4 linked regions of the Macaca mulatta genome follow. The protein of the gene in region 4 purifies or fractionates together with the protein of the main gene of each other region. This does not show direct contact. Links are inferred from orthologs where the notes say so. Each region holds a gene or a part of one and is shown on either strand. Other genes may lie near its edges.

The links. The genes of interacting proteins can lie anywhere in the genome.
Region 1: the proteins of TACC3 (region 4) and VASP purify together in Homo sapiens (co-immunoprecipitation; 3 studies listed by BioGRID and IntAct, with this or other methods). This does not show direct contact. The link is inferred for Macaca mulatta from reciprocal best matches to the Homo sapiens genes TACC3 and VASP.
Region 2: the proteins of TACC3 (region 4) and SLAIN2 purify together in Homo sapiens (co-immunoprecipitation; 3 studies listed by BioGRID and IntAct, counting the BioPlex papers as one, with this or other methods). This does not show direct contact. The link is inferred for Macaca mulatta from reciprocal best matches to the Homo sapiens genes TACC3 and SLAIN2.
Region 3: the proteins of TACC3 (region 4) and ENAH purify together in Homo sapiens (co-immunoprecipitation; 3 studies listed by BioGRID and IntAct, with this or other methods). This does not show direct contact. The link is inferred for Macaca mulatta from reciprocal best matches to the Homo sapiens genes TACC3 and ENAH.

What each region holds. Positions count from the first base shown.
Region 1 is NC_133424.1:58,036,555-58,041,281, reverse strand, and holds the start of VASP (vasodilator-stimulated phosphoprotein), read right to left. Parts: upstream 3,271-4,727; 5' UTR 2,978-3,270; coding exon 2,973-2,977; intron 1-2,972. UniProt on the Homo sapiens protein: Ena/VASP proteins are actin-associated proteins involved in a range of processes dependent on cytoskeleton remodeling and cell polarity such as axon guidance, lamellipodial and filopodial dynamics, platelet activation and cell migration.
Region 2 is NC_133410.1:47,847,691-47,852,276, reverse strand, and holds the start of SLAIN2 (SLAIN motif-containing protein 2), read right to left. Parts: upstream 3,271-4,586; 5' UTR 3,203-3,270; coding exon 2,814-3,202; intron 1-2,813.
Region 3 is NC_133406.1:83,381,790-83,386,655, reverse strand, and holds the start of ENAH (protein enabled homolog), read left to right. Parts: upstream 1-1,596; 5' UTR 1,597-2,025; coding exon 2,026-2,030; intron 2,031-4,866. UniProt on the Homo sapiens protein: Ena/VASP proteins are actin-associated proteins involved in a range of processes dependent on cytoskeleton remodeling and cell polarity such as axon guidance and lamellipodial and filopodial dynamics in migrating cells.
Region 4 is NC_133410.1:1,837,255-1,841,850, reverse strand, and holds the start of TACC3 (transforming acidic coiled-coil-containing protein 3), read right to left. Parts: upstream 3,112-4,596; 5' UTR 2,759-3,111; intron 987-2,758; 5' UTR 986-986; coding exon 824-985; intron 680-823; coding exon 537-679; intron 1-536. Other genes in the region: TMEM129 (E3 ubiquitin-protein ligase TM129), read left to right, coding at 3,436-3,640. UniProt on the Homo sapiens protein: Plays a role in the microtubule-dependent coupling of the nucleus and the centrosome. Involved in the processes that regulate centrosome-mediated interkinetic nuclear migration (INM) of neural progenitors.

The sequences.
Region 1 (4,727 bases), on a different chromosome or scaffold from region 4:
GGGCGGATCACAAGGTCAGGAGATCGAGACCACGGTGAAACCCTGTCTCTACTAAAAAATACAAAAAATTAGCCGGGCGCGGTTGTGGGCGCCTGTAGTCCCAGCTACTCGGGAGGCTGAGGCAGGAGAATGGCGTGAACCCGGGAGGCGGAGCTTGCAGTGAGCCGAGATCGCGCCACTGCACTCCAGCCTGGGCGACAGAGCGAGACAAAAAAAAAAAAAAAAAAAAAGAATTGCTGTGAGGGGTCAGGTGTGGTGGCTGATGTTTGTAATCATAGCACTTTAGGAGGGTGAGGTGGGTGGATCACCTGAAGTCAAGAGTTAGAGACCAGCCTGGCCATTATGGTGAAACCCCATCTCTACTAAAAATACAAAAATTAGCCGGACATGGTGGCAGGCACCTGTAGTCCCAGCTACTCGGAAGGTTGAGGCAGGAGAATTGCTTCAACCCAGGAGGCGGAGGTTGCAGTGAGCCAAGATCGCGCCATTTCACTCCAGCCTGGGCAACAAGAGCAAAAAAAAAAAAAAAAAAACAACCCAGAATTGCTGTCAGGCACAAAAATGCCCCACATAAAATAGATGCTTGATCAAATGGTCTCTTATTTAAAAAAAAATAAAAATAGCTATTATTGGAAGAAAGAAATAGACCCCAATTCTCCCCAAGTCCCTTCTGCCCTGAGATTCTAGACCTCTGCCTCGCTTCTCTGTCTTCCCAGCACCCCAGCTCCAGTCCGGGACACAGCCGACACTCAACAAATATTTGTCAAATTGGGAGAAAAAGAACTATATCTTGTAATTTTCCATCTTAACATCCTCTCTTCCAACTGCCCCCAGGACTGTCCCCCAGCCAAACCAGCCAGAAATCAGAGGATCCTAGGTTCCTCCACCCCTCCAACATTGCCTAGGAATTTCTGAGGGATCTTGGCCATGTCTTTTTCTCTTTGAGCCTCAGTTTCCCCAGCTGGGTAATAGGGGCATGGGTTTTGAATCCTGGCTGTCCTTGGAGAAGAGGCACAGCCCAGTAAGTCGGGTGTGACCACCTGCAGGGGAGACCCCTGGAAAGGTGGGAGTGGCCTTCTGGTGGGACAGGCATCTGGTCACTTCTGCACTGCACCCCACCCCAGCACCCCCACAAGGTGGGATGCTTGATCACCGCCCCAGCAAGAGGTGGGCCCTGTGGGAGGGCCAGGGCTTCCAGGGCTGCTGGTGGTGGTGGTGGTGGTGGTGGGGAGGGCAGGGGGCCGGCCCAGACACCACTCCTGCCCTTTTACGGTTGCAGTGAGTGAGGCAGCACTAACTCGGACATCCGCCATCCGCCTTCCACTGAGCCTGGGACCGGAAACGCGAGGGGGGTGGAGGGGCGGGGCTGGGGGGCAAGGGGAGAGAAGAGTCCCGGAGGAAGAGGGCGAAGGAAGAGAGCGACGCTCCCTAAACTGACCCCTCTCCAGGGCGGACTTGGAAGGGATGTTGCTATAATGGGGAGCGGATAGGATAGGCAGGAAGTCTTGAGGGTATCTGTGGGTGTCCTCCTTGCTCCAAATTTTCCAGCCATGCCTTTCACATCAGAAGGAACAAACGCGGGAGGGGAATTCTCTAGTGGTCATAAAAAGGAACGCCACTCCACTCCGATGTCAAAGGGCAGGGGTTCAGGAAATGCAGGGGATGTGGGCACCACGGGGTTAATCCCCAGCCGTCCCCAGGGGCCTCCCTGCTAAGGCTGGGGGCTTTGGGGCAGGAAGTCCCAGAGAGAGTGGAGGAAGGGAGATAGTATTGTCAGGCTCTGGCCCCATGGGAGAGATTATGGGGGGCCAGGGGAGGGGAGAATGGGAGGATGGTTGGGTCCCCCTGCCCACACTGGCCCCGCCCTCAGGTGAGTCCAGGAGTTCGGGGGAGGCCCCGGCCAGACCAAATCCCTGGGTCCCTTGGGCCGCCGCCCCCAGGATTAAATTCCTGGGAAGATAGCTGGAATTATCTGGGAAGCCTGGGTCCCTAGGGAAGAGGGCTATGACCTTGAAGCTTTCCAGCTCCCCTTCCTCCAACCCCAAGGCTCCGGATGGATGGGGGGGGCGGCGAGCAAAGGGGGAGGCGCCGTGGTGGGGAAGGCAGCCGGCCCACAGCGCTCGGTGCCCGCCCCCCACACCAGCTGTCTCGACAGGTGAGTCAGGAAGACAAAGGCCCCCTTCCCCCAGCTGCTGCGTCCCCTCCCTCCCCAGGGCCGCGCAGGTGGGGGAGCCGGGCCGCCCTTATGGCCCGGGGCAGGGAGCCGCCCTCTGCTCCGAGCGCCCGCTCTGTCCTAGGCACTGCCTGTTAAGCAGATTGCGTGCGGAGCGACGGGGGAGGGGAATCCCACCAGACTCCGGAGGCTGCGTCCGGGTCCCTGGATCGGTTCATACCAGCCTCTTCCACAGGAAGACCTAAGTGCCCCCCAAAATTTAGGGGATTAAGAAGTACCCCCGAAGTTCAGGAGCGCGGTCTCACTTGGGGAGACTTTTTCCAGCACCACGTAAACGGGGTCCCTGCACACCAAGGGTCTGAGTCTCAGTCTCTCTTCCAAGTCCCAGGGTCTCCCAAACCAGTCCCCCACAATCCTTCCCCGACCTCGAGCTGAAGTTTGGGGGGAGGGGGAGGAAAGTCTGAGCCCTGCCTCAATCCTGGCATCCCTGCGGGGAGTCGCTGCCAACTTTGAGGTCCTCTGAAAAAAAGTCTTAACAATTCGGGAGTCCTCCGAGCGTCCCCAAATCTTGAGGGCTCCCAGGGGAACCTCACCGCCACCACCCCCCGAGCTTGGGAAGTCAGTCGTGGAGAAGTGATCGACGGTTTTGGGGCTTGTCCTAGGGGATTCAGCCCAAATCCGAGGCTCCCAAGGATCTGTCCCCAAATTCCAGCCCGGAGCGAGCTTGGGGGGAGGGGGACAAAGGCGGGGCGCGGAGCCCGCCCGGGCGGGGACGGGTCGGGGGGCAGGTCCGGCTCACCTCATGGCTGATCTGCGGGCGGGCGGCGCGCCCACGGACTGGCTGCTCCCGGGGCGCCCCTGGCTGGAGGTTCAGGGGTTCGGGGCTGGCTCCGGGCTCGACTCAGGCTCCCCCAGGGTCCCGCCCCATAGAGTCCGGCTTCCTGGGTAGAACGTGGACCGGGCCGGGGCGGGTCTCCGGGCGCCGCTTCCCTCAGGCGATCTGATGAGAGGTCCCTGCGGCAGAAAGGGGATGCGGCGTCTGCTCCCCGACGCGCCCCCCTTGCCGGCGGCGGCTACACTGTTACTCTTACTACTGTACTTCTCTTCGTTACATTTCGTTCCAAAATTCCACTCCCCGCACCCACAATGCCCCGCGCCTTAAAGGGGCCGCGCGCGCCTCCAGGCGAGGGGGTGGAGGGCGCTTAAAAGGGCAACTCGGCACCCTCTGCTTCCGCGATCTTGCTGCTCTCCCCAACGTTATCGTCCAGGGGTGCACCCTGGGAGTCACCACCACATGGAGGGGCAAGCTTGGTGAAGGGGAAGGCGACCTCCCTTGCTCCCTAGTTCGCTTCCACTGTGGGAATTCTCAGGAGCGTCTCGGAAGGGGCACGATTTCTTTCCCCATCGACTTCTCCATCTCGTACTCCGCTCAATTTTGGGGGTCGAAGAGGACCCTCCAGTTAGTTAAGCAAGTGGTCTCAGATTTTCTCCCTGAAATTCCATCTTCGGAACCCCGCCCCTCCCCAGCGTCTCTCTTCTGTCAATTTCGGAGGGGTTACTAAGGGGGCGAGCCCCCCACCCGCGCGGGAGGGGAGGTGGGGGGGAGTAGGGCCCCACCCCTCTCACCCCACCCCGCCCGCCCCGGGAAGGTGAGGAGGAAGTGGGCCAAGGGGGCGCGGTCGGCCGCTGACTCACAGCCGCAGGGTCGGGGGTGGGGTGGGGGTGGAGGTGGGGACTGGCGAGGAGTGCCGGAGTTGGGGGCCTGGCATTCGCCCGAGGTGGGCAGGAGGCGCCGGCTTCTTGGGTATGTAAAGCCTCCGACCCACGTACGCCCCGCTCTGACTCAGTTTCGCCTGCGGAGGACAGCAGGATCATCCCAGCCCTCAGGAGGGCCCGGAGGTGAGGAGACCCTCCCCGGAGCCCCCGCCCCCACACGCCGGCTCCAGGCTGAGCCCAGACACCCTCCGAGGCTTCCGCAGCGTGTCTTGCCGGCCACGCCCCGAGTGACGTCACTGATGTGGTCGCGCCCCTTGGGTAGAGCGCCACCTGGCCCGGGTGAGGGCCCGGGTGAGGCCCTGGGAAATCAGTTTCACGTTTACACATGGGTAAACTGAGGCCTGGAGACAGGGAATGAATCTGGCCTATGACCCTCTTGCCTGAGCCCCCAGAACCCGGAAAGCCACCAAGATCTGAGTGTAAAACCAACAATTCTCAGGGCCAGCTGACTAGGTGAGAGAATCCACTTTTCCAGCGTATTTCCAAGCCGAGTCCCATGTCCGGATGTTTTCCTGACCTCCTTTACCTGGAGAGCACTTCCTCCTTACAGGCCAAGCTCTGACATTAATTACCCTCCCCTTCTCCACCCCACTCTGGGAGATCTTGAACCCTGATCCTCAGAGGTTATCATTGTTTCTCAGTGTGTCTCCTGAGGCTGAGTTGTCTGGGAGAAGGGGTAGACTTAATTTCTTTTTTCTTTCTTTTTTTTTTTTTTTTGAGATACAGTCTCCCTCTGTCGCCCAGGCTGGAGGGCACTGGCACGATCTCGGCTCACTGC
Region 2 (4,586 bases), about 46 Mb from region 4:
CACAAAATCAGCTTAGCTGGGTAGTTACCAGCATTCTTATTCTAATGAAACAGAATAGAAAGGAAAATATCTGAGCATATCACTTGTAGTAGAAGTAATCAACATTTTGTTAAACTTTTGCTTCAGTTATTCATATACATTATTCATATATATGTGAATTCCTGATTATGAGTTAAAATGTATTTATCATGAAGCTGGGTCCAAAAAAAAAAAAAAAAAGTGTGAAAGTGACTGCTGTAGAGCACTATTTTCTATGTGTGTTCTATAAGATACTAGTTCCTTGGGAGCTCAATTAAGTTTAGGACCAAACCATACTCCCTAGAGATTTACTATGTTCAAAACACATTAGCATTTCCAAGAGCCCAGCATTAAAGAAAACTGTTTATTTTTGTAGAATCAGTTTTTCCCACACTTATTCCATCCCAGAACCCACCCACTTTTATTCTACATAGCACTTACTGACATCTTCAGAACTAGCACTTTGTGGCACATACACTCGGGAGGAAACATTCCTCTAGATGAAAAGGAAGGTGAATAGCTAGAAGTTACAGAAGGTAGATTTTTAGCTTGCTAAAAAAGGAAAAAATACTGCCTTTGAACCTTTCTGCCACTGACATCCACCCCCTACAACTTTTACCCTAATCACATACCCCAACGCATTTTAAATATTATTTATATCCAACTTACAGTTCACACAAATCTCAGAAAAAGTACAGGACACCTGTAAGATCAAGATATGATGCCAGGATCAAAGCATTAAGCAGGAATCATCTGGTCAAAAGAAACTCCTGGCACAGTATTTAAGGAAGACTTACTTTACCTTAACAAAACTCATGCTCAGGAACCAAAGCAGCCAAAGACTTAATCGGCTCCTCCAAGTGGACTCAATGTGTTCTAATAATACATAATCTAAAATGGGCTGATGGGTGCAGCTAATCCTCATTATTATGAGCATCATTATTATCATCACTTGCAAGAGCCATGTGACAATATTTACAAGATTCTGGATTCTTTTAAAGTGTATGCATACCCAAGATTCCTTTGGGAGAAAGTAATTTCACATTTATATCAAAAACTGTCACTACCATAGTCAGCTCTAATATTTGATATCACTTGGTAATAAAGGTTTGTCATCATATACTCAAGAGTAATCCTGTTACTCAAATCTTCCTAACTGGGAGTTACGAATACCTCTGACTCTGCTCTTTTAGCTGTCAAGAGCATAAAATGCCCTTCCCGCTCTTTACTCACTTCCAGACTCCAAAGCCACCTCCTCCTCAAAGTCTGGCCCAACTACTGTGGACCACTATTTTTCTCCCAGTTACTGAGTACTGTCAGCACTTTTTGTTCTATCACTCTTTGGGTAATTCACTGTACACTTTCTAGTTTATTTAACTGCACAAAACTTAGTTCTCAACAAGACTATAACTGCCTTATGAACAGGGATCAACACTTAAGAATCTCCAGAATCTCCTACAACATCATGTAAGATTCTTGATTTACAAGAACATCATGTTCCTTGATTTAAGTAACTAGGCTTAAGAGTAACAAATAGCAGCTTGTTTTAAGACAGTTTACTACGTGCCAGATCCAGCGCTAAATGCATACATAATTATCTAAGTTTTCATAACTCTATAGAGGTAAGTGCTATTATTTTCTCCATCAAATAGAAGAAGAAAGTGAGCCTCAGAGTAACTTGCTCAAGGTCATACTGCTAGTAAGTGGCAAAACCAGGGCCTGAATCCAGGAAAGCTCTTAACTACCTCAGAACACTGAAAAGTTCCAACCCTACAATAAGAGTCTATGCATGATTTCGATTTCACTAAGTTAGAAGTTTTAATTTCAATAGAACAGAGATATTTTAGCTAAAAGTTAAAACTTAACTTTAAGAAAAATTAAGACAAATAATTTCCCACACACATCTTTATAATAAAACGAGGGGAAAACCTCCCATGTCCTATTTATGAAAGTAATATAAAGGTGGGGGGGATCACAATTTCATCAAGAAGTGGCTTATGACAATACAGCTTTGGTTCAAATTTTTAAATAGGACTCTTTTTCTCTGCCCCTAGGAGGAACGTGGAAATGAAAGATGGATGTGATAACTGTCAATTCAGAGCTCTGCAAAACGCCAGACTCGTTTTAGAAAATAAGAGCCGGGGCTCTAGTTCCACCCTTGACTCTTCACACAAAGAGTAACAAAAACAAAAACAAAAAAAAAGAAAAGAAAACAAGCAGCACCATCCTCTGCCCTCTTCACACAAAGCAAGCTTTACCCCACTACCCAAAGGGGAGTGCTGATTCACACGGTCTCCCCATCCCTGCCAGACATGGGTCCCAAACACCAACCGTTGCATAGACGTAGACGACTTTGGTCTGCCCCCGACCCCCACACCTGGTGATACCTCATCAAGCAGACCCCTCTCCTACATCCAAAATGCCCAGGGCCACCATCCGAAAGCCAGTATCTTACACAAAGCAGGACCCCGGCCTACAAAGCAGTTTCCCACCTCCGACTCCTCCCCAGGCGAACAGCCCTTCTCAAGCTGCCCCAATCCACAGACCCCAATAGGGTCCAGCACCCAGAAGGTCCACAATCCAAAGGAGAACGAGCTACAACCCTGTTACTTGCGCACGCCTCGAACCCCCAACTCCAGCTGAGGTTCCCTCTGCCAAAGCAAGAAAACCACGAGTCCCCACGGGAGTTTTCTCGACTACACAAAGCGAGGCGCCAGACCAGAGGGACCCTCAGAGGACGCTCTCCGCCCCCGGGTCCGTCCCCGCCCAGCTCCGACCCGGCGCCCCAAGCTCACCAGCTCTCCTCTTCCTCCTCCCAGCCTGACAGGCGCTCCAGCTCGTCGGGCCGCAGCGGCTCCACCTCGTCCAACAAGCCGCCCTCGCCCGCCGCCAGCAAGGAGGTGGCGTCCCGCAGCTCTTCGCTACTCGTCCGCCTCGGGACCGACCCGGCCCCGCCGCCCGACTTGGCGCTGAGGCCCAAGGGGAAGCCCCGAGGAGACGCCGCGCCGGAGGAGGGAATGGACGCGCCGGCCCGAATCGGGCTGCCGGGCCCTAGGGAGCCGGCGCCCTGCACGGCCCCCGAGCGACTCCTCAGCTGTTCGTTCTGTTTCTCCAGCTTCTTCACCAGCTCCTGCAGCTTTCGCACCTCCTGGTCCGCGTTCACGTTGGAGTTAACGTCCTCCATCCCGGCCCCGCCGCCTCCGCCGCCCGCTCGCTCTCGCAGCGACAGGGAAAGAGCCGGAGGAAAGAGGCGTCGCCGCCACTCACTCTAGCCGAGGCGCCGGCATATAGCAGGACCAGGCCCCACCGCCAGGGTCCCCCCACCTCGGGTTCCAAAGCGCCGCTGGCCCCAGCCGAGCTGCCTCATCTGCGCCGGCTCCGGGATTGGGGGAGGCGGCGCCAATATCCGGCCTCTGCCGCCATCTTCCCTCCGTCCCTCCGCCCCCCGCGGGCCGGCCCCGTCGGTGACCTCAGAGCGTCGCGGGTGGACGCGGCCGCCGGCGGGCGCTGAGAGGACCGGGCGCCGGTTCGCGGCGGGGCGGGGCCACTGACGGGGCCTATGGGGCGGGGCCGGTGTTCGAGGGGCGGGGATTAGGCCGGAAGGGGCGTGTCGGCGGACGTGGGACGAGGCCGGGCTGGTTAGGGAGGGTTCCTGCAGGCCGGGAGGCGAGTAGGCGGCTCGCCGCTGGCGGGACTGAGGTGGCTAACACGGACCTCGATCAGCCCCGCCTGTTGGCCTGGGCGTGTGGGGTGTTCTCCACCCCTTACACGGAGTGTGGGACCCGCGGGCCAGTCTCGCGCTTGTTCCGGGCCAGACCTCGAGTGGGCGCTCAGCCCGGCTGTGGAGAGACAGTTTACTTTTTCAGCAAATATTTAATCGATGCCGACTTTTAATTGGAGATTGTCTCGGCTGGCGGGATCGTCTGAGACTGCCTGTGTCCTGTTTCTTCCCCTGAAAATAAACCCCAGTTTCAGACAGTTAAGAGAGGTCTAAGGTCAAAATAATAATCATAATTGCTTGAGTGCTTCCTACTGGCCAGACACTGTGCTAAGCAGTTTTAAAGGCATTATCTCATCCGTTAAAACATAGTTTTCCCGGCTTAAAGTTTGCAGCACACAGGGGCGGAAGCAAGGGATAGTAAACCGCTTCTCTACCCCCTTTCTCCGTTTATTGACTCACATTCTGCTCCTTGGATCATTTTCTTCGGAAAAAGTTCCTCATAGTGTGTCTTGATTTTTTTTTAAAGTTGTGTGTTAAAAGTACTTAAACACGCTGACAGATAGTGAAGAATGCAGAAAATTGTATGAATGTGAAGTCCGCCTTTAGAATGTGGCAGCAAACCCAAACAAAACTTAAATGCTTTATTTTGATCACATTCATTGGTCTTCAGATGTCAATTGTGAACTGCTTTGGCTTGTGTTTGCAGCTTTTCTTCAGTTGCCGCCTCCACCCTTAGTTTAATAACAATGATCCAGTCCTGTTACACCTGAGTGTGGACTCATTGCCATGACTGGCTTGCTTCTATCCTTTAGCTTTTCTAGTACCATATTCTCCGCCTGCCATATCT
Region 3 (4,866 bases), on a different chromosome or scaffold from region 4:
TTCACCCGCCTCAGCCTCCCAAAGTGCTGGGATTACAGGTGTGAGCCACCGCACCCGACTGAAACCAGGAAGCTTTTTTATGGTTAAAAATGGGCTACACAGTTCTATTACAGGCAAGTCAGGCATTGACCGTGGATCACTATAACTTGTCTTTTCATTTGGAAGTGTACATTATCCCAACCTTTATAACTATCTTTTGAATGGTACCTGCATCTTAAAACAAAACACCGAAACTTTTGAACGGATTCCTGGAGTCATGGCAGGTCCTCCATTTTGGATGAGATCCTTCAGCAACAGGATCCCTGTAGCAACAATCCTTTCTCATCCTCATCTTTTATACAGAAAGTACATCCCTGTCTTCGGGACTAAAAGGGGGCTGTAATTCGTACAGTTAAATTTTTTATTATTGGATTTGTTTTTAGATTAAAAAAAAAAACCAAAAAAACCTCAACAACAACTATCAATTCTGGCTTCCTGGATGCCCTCCTCCCCGACTTGACTTGAAATTGCCTTGCCAGTATTTTATATCTACTTTTTAAGGGAGGTGACTTCAAGACCATTGGGAATGACGGAAGATTTAAAATTATCATTAGTTCCTCTTTCTCCCCGCCCCTGCCCGGGATTCCCTCTGCTAATGACGCTGGAAAGCGGTTCCACTGGCTGCGTTTCTCTTCTTCCACTCTTACGGCAACACACGGTTCCGCGCGCGTCTCCGGCGACTGCGTTTCCCCCAGAGTCGGCTGCGTTCGTTTGGGGATGAAGTCATCCCTATACCTAGTGTGCACATCAGCTTGTTCCATCGGCGCAGCACGCTGGGATTCCTCGGGAAGGAGCGAAGGGAACAATGATGACCATATTTTCCATTTATATGCCCCTCCTCAACTCCGCAGGAATCGCTGGGCGCGGCCGCGGCGGGGTCGGGCGGTTGGGCTGACCGGGATGCCCCCCGATTCCCTCGTCCCAGTCCTGAGACCGCAACAGGGCGGGCTGAGCACTCGCCCCGCGCGAGGCACTCGGCCGCGAGCCGACCCGGAGTATCCTGGCCCGGCCCTGTACCCAGTCAGTCACGCGTCCCAGCTCCCCACGCCGGTGCCTGCGGGTCCGGCGCCTAGGAGGTCTCGGCGCCTAGGTCTCCGCACCGCGGCCGTGGGGGAGGCCCCGGAGTTCCCCAAGCCTCTGGGGAGCGGGAGGCGACGGGGAGGGGGCCGACAGTCAAGGACAACTCCGGGCAAGGAACCCCCCGGCGAGGAACCCCGGCCGACAGCGGACGGGACGTTTTGGGTGGGGGTGGGGGGGGGCCGGCCCGAATCCCAGGAGGTTGCAGGGGGCGGGGTAGGGAGGCAACAAAGAGCCTCTCTTCGTCGTCGCCGCCGCCGCCGCGCTCGCTCCCGCCCAGTCAGCTCTCCGCAGTCCGGCGGGGGCCCGGCCGCCGGCGCGGGGGAGCGCGCCCGGCCCCCCGCCTCCCCTTTCCTCCCCTCTCCTCCCCTCCCCCCGCACCGCCCCCTCGCCCCCGGGGGAAGGAGGCGAGGAGGGCGGCGCCTGCGTGTTCCTCCGCCGCGCGCCCCGCCTCCTCCCGGGCTCCTCGCGGCGATCCCGACTCTCCTCCCGCGGCTGCAGCAGCTGCCGGTTGCACACGGCCTCGGCGGCGGCGCGGCGGGCGCGGGCCTGTGGAGCGGCGGCCGGGCGCGCGGCCCCGGCGGGCACCCCTCCGAGGGCGGCCGAGGAAGCTCCGGGAGGAGGAGCAGGACCACGAGGAGGTGGGAGGCGGCGGCCGCCTGGGGACCCGCTCCGCGCCTCGTCCTCTCCGCCCCCTCCCCAGCCTTTCTCTCACCCTCTTCTCCCACACTCCGGGCCGGCGCCTCGGCATTGTGCGAGGAGATGGTGTAGCCCCCTGGCCGCCGAAGGAGGAGCCGAACACTTGTCTCCAGTCTCCGAGCTGCTCCCCACCCCTGGAGGAGAGACCCCCTCGGCTCGGCGCCTTCCGCGTCTCCCAGCTGGTGGGGAAGCCTCTACGCCGCCGGCACCATGAGGTGAGGGGCGCGCGGGGCGGGGGCCGGGCGGGCCATTGTGCCGCGGGAGCCGCGACCCTCGTTCTCCTTGGACCCCGCCTTCCCTCTGCTGGCCCGGCGCGTCTCCCAGGTCTCCGGTCTGTTTCTCCCCCCTCCCCCTTTTGTCCCTTCCAATTTCTCTTTCTTTCTTGGAAACCTCCCCAACCCCTGTGGTTTGGGGGTCTCCTTTCATCGTTCTCTCATTTTTCCTCAAATGCTCTTCTTTCACCCAGGATTTCCCTTCCTAAATTTAATTTGCGCCTGGCTCCCTCCCCCCAGCCTTTGCAAGCGAAACCCGGGAGATGGGGAGGGGTTCGAGAATCGAAGCGTGCATGTTGCTGGGAAACAGGTATTTTTTCGTATATATGTAAAAATTTCATGCACTTTTGCCTCCGAACTCTCGTGTTTAATTATAAAAGGAGGAAAAGTTTGAAAGGTCTGAAATCTCTGCGGGTAATAAAGTGCCTCTGGTAGGGGTGGGTAAAGGAGCTGTAAAAGGTGAAATTTCACGATGGTGGGGGAAGGGAAAGAATTGATTAGGTTCACGTGGTGGGGGCAGTAAAAGACTGGGATAAGTTGGTAGGGGTGTGTAAGCGGGGGCGGGGAACGGATTTGTTTGGAAAAGCCTTTTCTCCCCTTCCTCTGTAGCAGCCTGTGTTGCATTGCAGCAGCTGCTTTTGCCCTTTGCTCTGTAATCAGTAAAACAGGAGCTAAATTATTTTTGCGGCCCCGAAGAAGAGAATTGAATGTACTGTCGTAAAATATTTTTTTAATTGATACGTTGAAACATATGGTGTGATATTTTTCTTTATTGTTTCTCAAATTGTGTAGGAGAATAAACCATGATGTGGTGTGTCATTCATTGGAGATTTTTTTCTTCCAGCCTTTCCTAAGCCTGTTTTGTGTCCATAACCTTCTCTTTTCGGATTGGTGCAAGACTTCGTGAGAAATGGGACTTGGTAGACTGAAGGCTGATCCATTCTGCGTTATCATCCTTAAAGGCCTTCCTTTTGGGTTAAACAATTGTGGATAAAGTAAATTACTCCATTTCTCTCTCCTGGAAGAGATAGTCTTACAGTTCATTTGGATTTGAATCTCCTTTGTGTTAAAGATTAATGGTCAACCGTTGCCAAGACCTTTATAATGTAATACAATGAGATTTGAATGATATAATCGACAAATTCCTTCGCTTTGGCAAGAAAATGTCATGTCATTGGAATTCTTTCTCAATTTCGGTGGTTTCCATTTTAAACTTTGCTTTTCATTTTTTTTCTATCAAGGTTGAGCGTGTTTCCATTTGGCTTTTGTATGTATATATTTTGTGATATATCTGTGTTGAATTTTCACTTTCGCTTACTGTGAATTTGAATTTTTTTCTCTGATTCCAAGTTACCTGTATTTATGATGGCCTTAAAGAGTGAGTTTAATGTTGTGTCTCTAGGTGACTGACCCCTTTTCCCTTGATGATTTCGCACAAGTTATTTTCAAATATAAGCGATCAGTTTAAATAGTAGTTATAGCATACAAACCAAAAAACAGTCTTTGTAAAATATGGCTTGAAAACTTTCAGTCATATGTTTGAGCATGACTTTTTTTACTGATGTCCTTGAAAACTCAGGAACTATAATATACATATTGTTGTATCTTGTAATATTATATGTTGTTGGTTTCTGTTTTAGAGATCTAATGCCGTAGGGATCTTACAGACCAGAAGTTATCAGTTGTTTCAAACTTTGGGTAAACTTAGCTTAACATTGAGAAATATAAAACAGTGAAAGTTTTTTTTTTTTTTTTTTTTTTTAAAGATACAGTCTTGCTCTGTCGCCCATGGAGTGCAGTGGTGCGATCTTGGCTCACTGCAACCTCCGCCTCCGGGTTCAAGCGATTCTCCTGCCTCAGCCTCCCAAGTAGCTGGGATTACAGGCGCGTGTCACCATGCCCGGCTGATTTTTTGTATTTTTAGTAGAGACAGGGTTTCACCTTGTTAGCCAGGATGGTCTCCATCTCTGGACCTTGTGATCCACCCGCTTCGGCCTCCCAAAGTGCTGGGATTACAGGCGTGAGCCACCGTGCCTGGCCAAAAGTGGGTTATTTTTAAATAAAAACAGGTATAGTTGTGTAATTCAAAGATTGTGAACTAAAAAAAGTTGCCGTTTTGGGTATTCAGTAAAGTTTAATCACTGTCATGTATAGATGTCAGTCTGTCACAGGTAAATTATGTCTTCACTTGAAAATTCCTTTTCTAATAAAAAGTAACTTCTGTTTTTTAAGCTCTTTTCTTGCTCTGTTCCTTGTGAAGTGTAGAGAGAGAGGAACCACACTGATGTTTTCCAGTAACGTAAATATAGAACTTGGTACACAGGTCTGAAAAGTTTATTTAAGCAGTCTACCGTAATTCTTTATACACTAATTTTGAGTAAGAGCAGGAAAGAGGGTCAGCTTTTCACTTTGGAAGGAACTGGATTATTTGGTAGGTGGTTAGGTAGTGCTTAGAATGCTTAGATACCTGTAAAAGTGAGATTGGTATGAGATAGAACGTTCTTGTGCTGCTTGCAAAAAAGTCTTTGAAATATTCTTTGGAATATTTTGGTGCTTAAGAAAGTGCTTTTCAGGTTGTATTAATATATGCTTAGTCTTCATGTTTTCAAGGCCTGTGGGACATAAATGTTAGTCTTTTAAGTTGAGTCCTTTTTGGTTATATTAAGTATTTCTGATGTTTCAAAGGCCACCTAGAAATAGGAATGCGTGAACAGGAATTTCCAATTAAGTGGGTCAGAATCTTGAACAGAGGATATGATAAATACATTATGGTATAAAT
Region 4 (4,596 bases):
TGTTAGTGAACTGGTGGGGGGGAGTGAAGTATTAAGTTATCCAAGTATCTGATGGTCGACTTTTCTGTTAGTGAACTGGCCACATGCTGCATACACTCAGTGCAGATTTCAGGAGAAATCCAGCCAGGCCGGCCGGGCGCGGTGGCTCACGCCTGTAATCCCAGCACTTTGGGAGGCTGAGGCGGGTGGATCGCAAGGTCAGGCGATCGAGACCATCCTGGCTAACACGGTGAAACCCCGTCTCTACTAAAAAATACAAAAAAATTAGCCGGGCGTGGTGGCGGGTGCCTGTAGTCCCAGCTACTCGGGGAGCCTGAGGCAGGAGAATGGCATGAACCTGGGGTGGGTAGAGTTTACAGTAAGTGGACATAGTGCCACTGCACTCCAGCCTGGGCAACAGAGCAAGACTCCATCTCAAAAAAAAAAAAAAAAAAAAATTCCAGCCAAGGCCTGACAGAACAGGACAGCACGTTTCTGCAAGAGCCATCGGACAGAGAGGGTGAAGCTCCAGCATGTCCAGTAGCATGAACACTTACTTCTCTTTCTGAGTCCACACCGGGTGACAGTTTTCCAGTCCAAGGGTATCACCCTGAGCCAAAGGAGCCTCAAGTTTGCTGGCCATGCTAGGACTTAGAATCCTGTGCGTCTGTGGATCCCGCAGAGGTGTCTGAAAAGTCACCTGTTGTGGAGTGAGGAGGAGAGCACCCATTCATTAGTTCAAGCTGTTACAGCCACACCAGCAGTGTCCTGCAGCTCAGAGGTCACCAGGAAAGCAGGTCCTAGGGCAACCTGGCTAGCCACACACTGTAGAGGTCACACTTACCTTCATAGCTTTGGCCACGTTCTTGGGTGGCACATTTTCTTTCTGTGACACACGAAGAACAGACGATCTTCCGGTAACTTCTGGTGAGGAAAACAGGAAGTCGCAATTTTCTGTACTTTTTTCACTGCTGACATTTTTGTCGTTTAAGACCTGCAGACTCATTCTGGAAAAGCAGAACATGTTTGTGTCAGTGTGAGGGCAACACAACCATGTTGTCCAGACACAGACATGACAGCTGCCGCAGGGAGCACGACCCCTTCCGGCACAGGTGTGCTCATTGTTCTGGAGCTCACACCTCCCACACATGTCCTCTGCCAAGTGGGGCAGAGAAAGCCTCCGATTGAGTCCCCATCCTGCTTCAGAGACTCACTCTCCAGCCTGGCACCGGGAGCCATGGGCAGCACCGCTGCCTCCTGGGACCAAGAGCTAAAGGGCCTTCAGGCTAAGATGGTGAGAAAGAAAAACCAAGACCGCATAATCTCTACTGTTGTATTACCACGTCAGGCAGAAGTCAGGAGACAGGAAAGCCCTGGCCTATAAGAAACCCAGAAGAGCCAGAGGAAGCCGCGGTCTCCCCACCGGCCTCCGCGTGTGGCGTGAGGCAGGACCGGGCAGCAGAGGGCAGAAAAGCAGGACAGCGGCTCTGGTCTGCTTTCTCCCACCGGGCTAGGCAGCGGGACAAGACCAGGCTGGGGTGAAGGCCCAGAGGAGGAGCTGGGAGACAGTAGGCGAACAAGGGACGCCCAGAGCTGAGCAGCAGGTGCCAAGGAGCTTCCATATCAGGGCCTCCAGTCAGTCCCAGGTTCCAGGGCCGCCCAGGTCCTCACACCAGTCACCCACACACTTGCCACCCTTTCTGTCTACAGCGTTCCCAGTCTAGGGAATGACGTAGGCAGAAAGGCTGCCAGAGAGAACCGAGTGTCGACCTGGGCAGGAACCCCACGGGCACCTGTTGGTGGTGGGGGACCTGGGAAGGCTTTGATTTGAAAAAGAGCAAAGTTGGGGAGGGTCCTGGAGAAGAGAGAGGGGCAGCCCGGGCAGGTCGGTGCTGCAGCTTGAGAAGCCCACTGTGGTGCTGTGTGTGGGTAGGGAAGTAAGGGCAGGAGGGAAGCAGGGAAACCACACGCTTCTGCAGCCCGAGGAGTAGAGGCCAGACCAGACCCGGGCCTGGCCACTGGCATATATGGGACTTACAGACGACGCTTAGGTTTTTGGCCTGAATAACTGGGTACAGGGCAGGGGAAGGGCAGCTGGATCACTGGGGGACACGCAAGCCTGGAACTCAGGGAGAAAGTGACTCGGAGGAAGCCTTCCGGCGGCCTGGAGGAGTGCGGGAGAGCAGCAGACCCAGCCTTGGTCAGGAGGGGCCTTTACCGACTATGGAGCCCCGGGAGGGGCTCTGGGCAGGGAAGGGACCGGCCCCAGGCCGGTGCTTTGATGCTACTCTGGTGCACAAGTGGGATGCGGCGCGGGGGAAGATGGAGCGGCGCAGCAGGTGCGGGGAAGCGGTCGGGGCCCAGGTGTCCGCCACAGGTGGCCCAGATGGAGTTGGCACCAGGACGGAGGCCGGAAGGGACCAAAGAACCACAAGAGGGTCTGCGAGCTGGGAGCCAACAAAGAACCAGGGTGGGCGGCCGAGAGGCAGGAGAGGGTCGAAGAGAACAAAGCACTTCAGGGCGCCCGCTCCGCCGTCGGGCTCGGCCCAGCCCTAGCCGCCCCCGGCCACCGCCCAGGGGATCCAGCCCGGTGGTCGGTCTAGGGCCGGGTCCCATGACAGGGCGCGGGACGGGCCCCGGCGGCCCGGGAAGAAGCCGTGGGGGACGCTTCCCGGGGAAAGCTGCGGCCAGGGCGGGAAGGCGAGGGCCGAGGGCGGGGCGGGACGGCCTCGCGCCCCCGGGACCCCAGCCTCCCCGTGCCGTGTAGACGCTCGTCTACCTGCCTGCCCGCCCGTTGCCGGGCTCTGAGCCCGCGCCGCCGCCGCCAGGAAGGAGGGGTCTGGATATGCGTCTGCTCCGCGCCGGGGGCGAGCCTAGTTGCTGCCGCTGCCGCGCTTCCAGCCCTTGATGGCCGCCGGCGCGCCCGAGTTTCAAACGCCGACGGTTGCCTTCGCGCGGCCAATCAGCACGCGGCCGGGGGCGGGACCGTAGGAGGGTGGGGGTCCAATGGGAAGCTGTGTCTCGCCGGCCCCGCCCCCCCGTGCGCCGACGGTTCCGTTTCCGGAGTGGAGGGCCTGCCGGGGGTGTCTGAAGCTGAGACCGCCGGCTCGCCGTCGCCGCACGAATTTCGGGTTCTGCAGCTGACGCTACTGGGCGGGGCTTCGTGGCCAGGGACTGAGAGCCGCTGGCTCAGGCCTAAGTTTCCCCAGCTGTGCATTGAGACCAGGTGCAGTGCCGCCTCCAGGGCGGGCCCTGAAGAGAGGCCGCACCCTCACGGGGACTGCATCTCCCAGAGCGCCCCGCGGGCGGCCGGGCGGCGGGACTCCATCTCCTAGAGTGCCCCGCGGGCGGCCGGGTGGCGGCTGCCGCAACCGACACGTCGGGGTCTGGGCGCTGCGGCCTCTTCCCCGCGCCGGGGGCGGGGTCCTCGCCGGACAGCTTCCCGGCGGCGGCGCGATGGACAGCCCCGAGGTGACCTTCACTCTCGCCTATCTGGTGTTCGCCGTGTGCTTTGTGTTCACGCCTAACGAGTTCCACGCGGCGGGGCTCACGGTGCAGAACCTGCTGTCGGGCTGGCTGGGCAGCGAGGACGCCGCCTTCGTGCCCTTCCACTTGCGCCGCACGGCCGCCACGCTGTTGTGCCACTCGCTGCTGCCGCTCGGTGAGGCTGCTCCGGCCGGCCAGCCGCGTCCTCTCCTGCGCAGGGCTTGCTGGGAGGTCAGGAGGAGGCCTCCGCCAGCTCGCCGAGGCCCCGAAAGCGCCTGGGCGCAGCTGGGGAGAGGCGCCGGTCCTCATCCAGAGGGACCGCGGCGTGGGCTGAGCGCGCTTAGGGGCGCCGCCGGCGCTGGCTTGCAGGTGACGGGAACCCAAGTACAGAACCTTGGGCAGGGGATGCCCCGGCTCACCATGTCCTGAACCGTCACATGCCTGGGGGTTCCAAGGCCAAGCAGCCTTTGCTTGTCGTGGTTGCGGGCAGTGGCCAGGAGAAGGCAACTGTTGATTGAGTCCAACAGAAGGGGTCGGAGGGACTGTGTGGAGGGTGGCATTGCTCTAGGCCTTGGAAGGTGGGTGTGGGGAGAACGGGCGGATTTGGAGGCAGTTCCAGTTTGGGGGCGCCACAGAGGCAGAGGCTGAGGAGGGCCTCTGTGCAGGTGGGACCCTCAGAGTTGTCCGGGGGGTGTTGGGCTGGGCCCCAGGTGGTAACTGGGGCTCTGGAAGGTCCCCGTCTCAGCCAGTTGGATGACAGACAGGTGGGAGATGGGGGGTGCAGTGGTTGGAAAGGGATTTCAAGGGGGGACCTCTGGAGGACACAGGGGCAGACGCAGCTCTGGGAGGACAAATGGCCAGTGGCTGGCCAGGTCTGCCGCTCTGGGGAAACAAGAGGGGTGACCCTCCACATCCCGGTGTGAGCATGCAGCTGCCCGGGCCCGGGGGAGCTGGAGGCAGGTGTGGGGTGGAGACGCCCAGGCCTGCCTCAGGCTGGGGGCCCACTTGGGAAATGGATGGGGCTGAGTGGGGCTAGGGCCCTGACCAGGCCGCTTTCGAGGCCTACTGGGTGGGTTTCTGTATCCCTTCCAACTGCACCCTCCCCAGACGCCTGTGAGGGACCACAAGTGA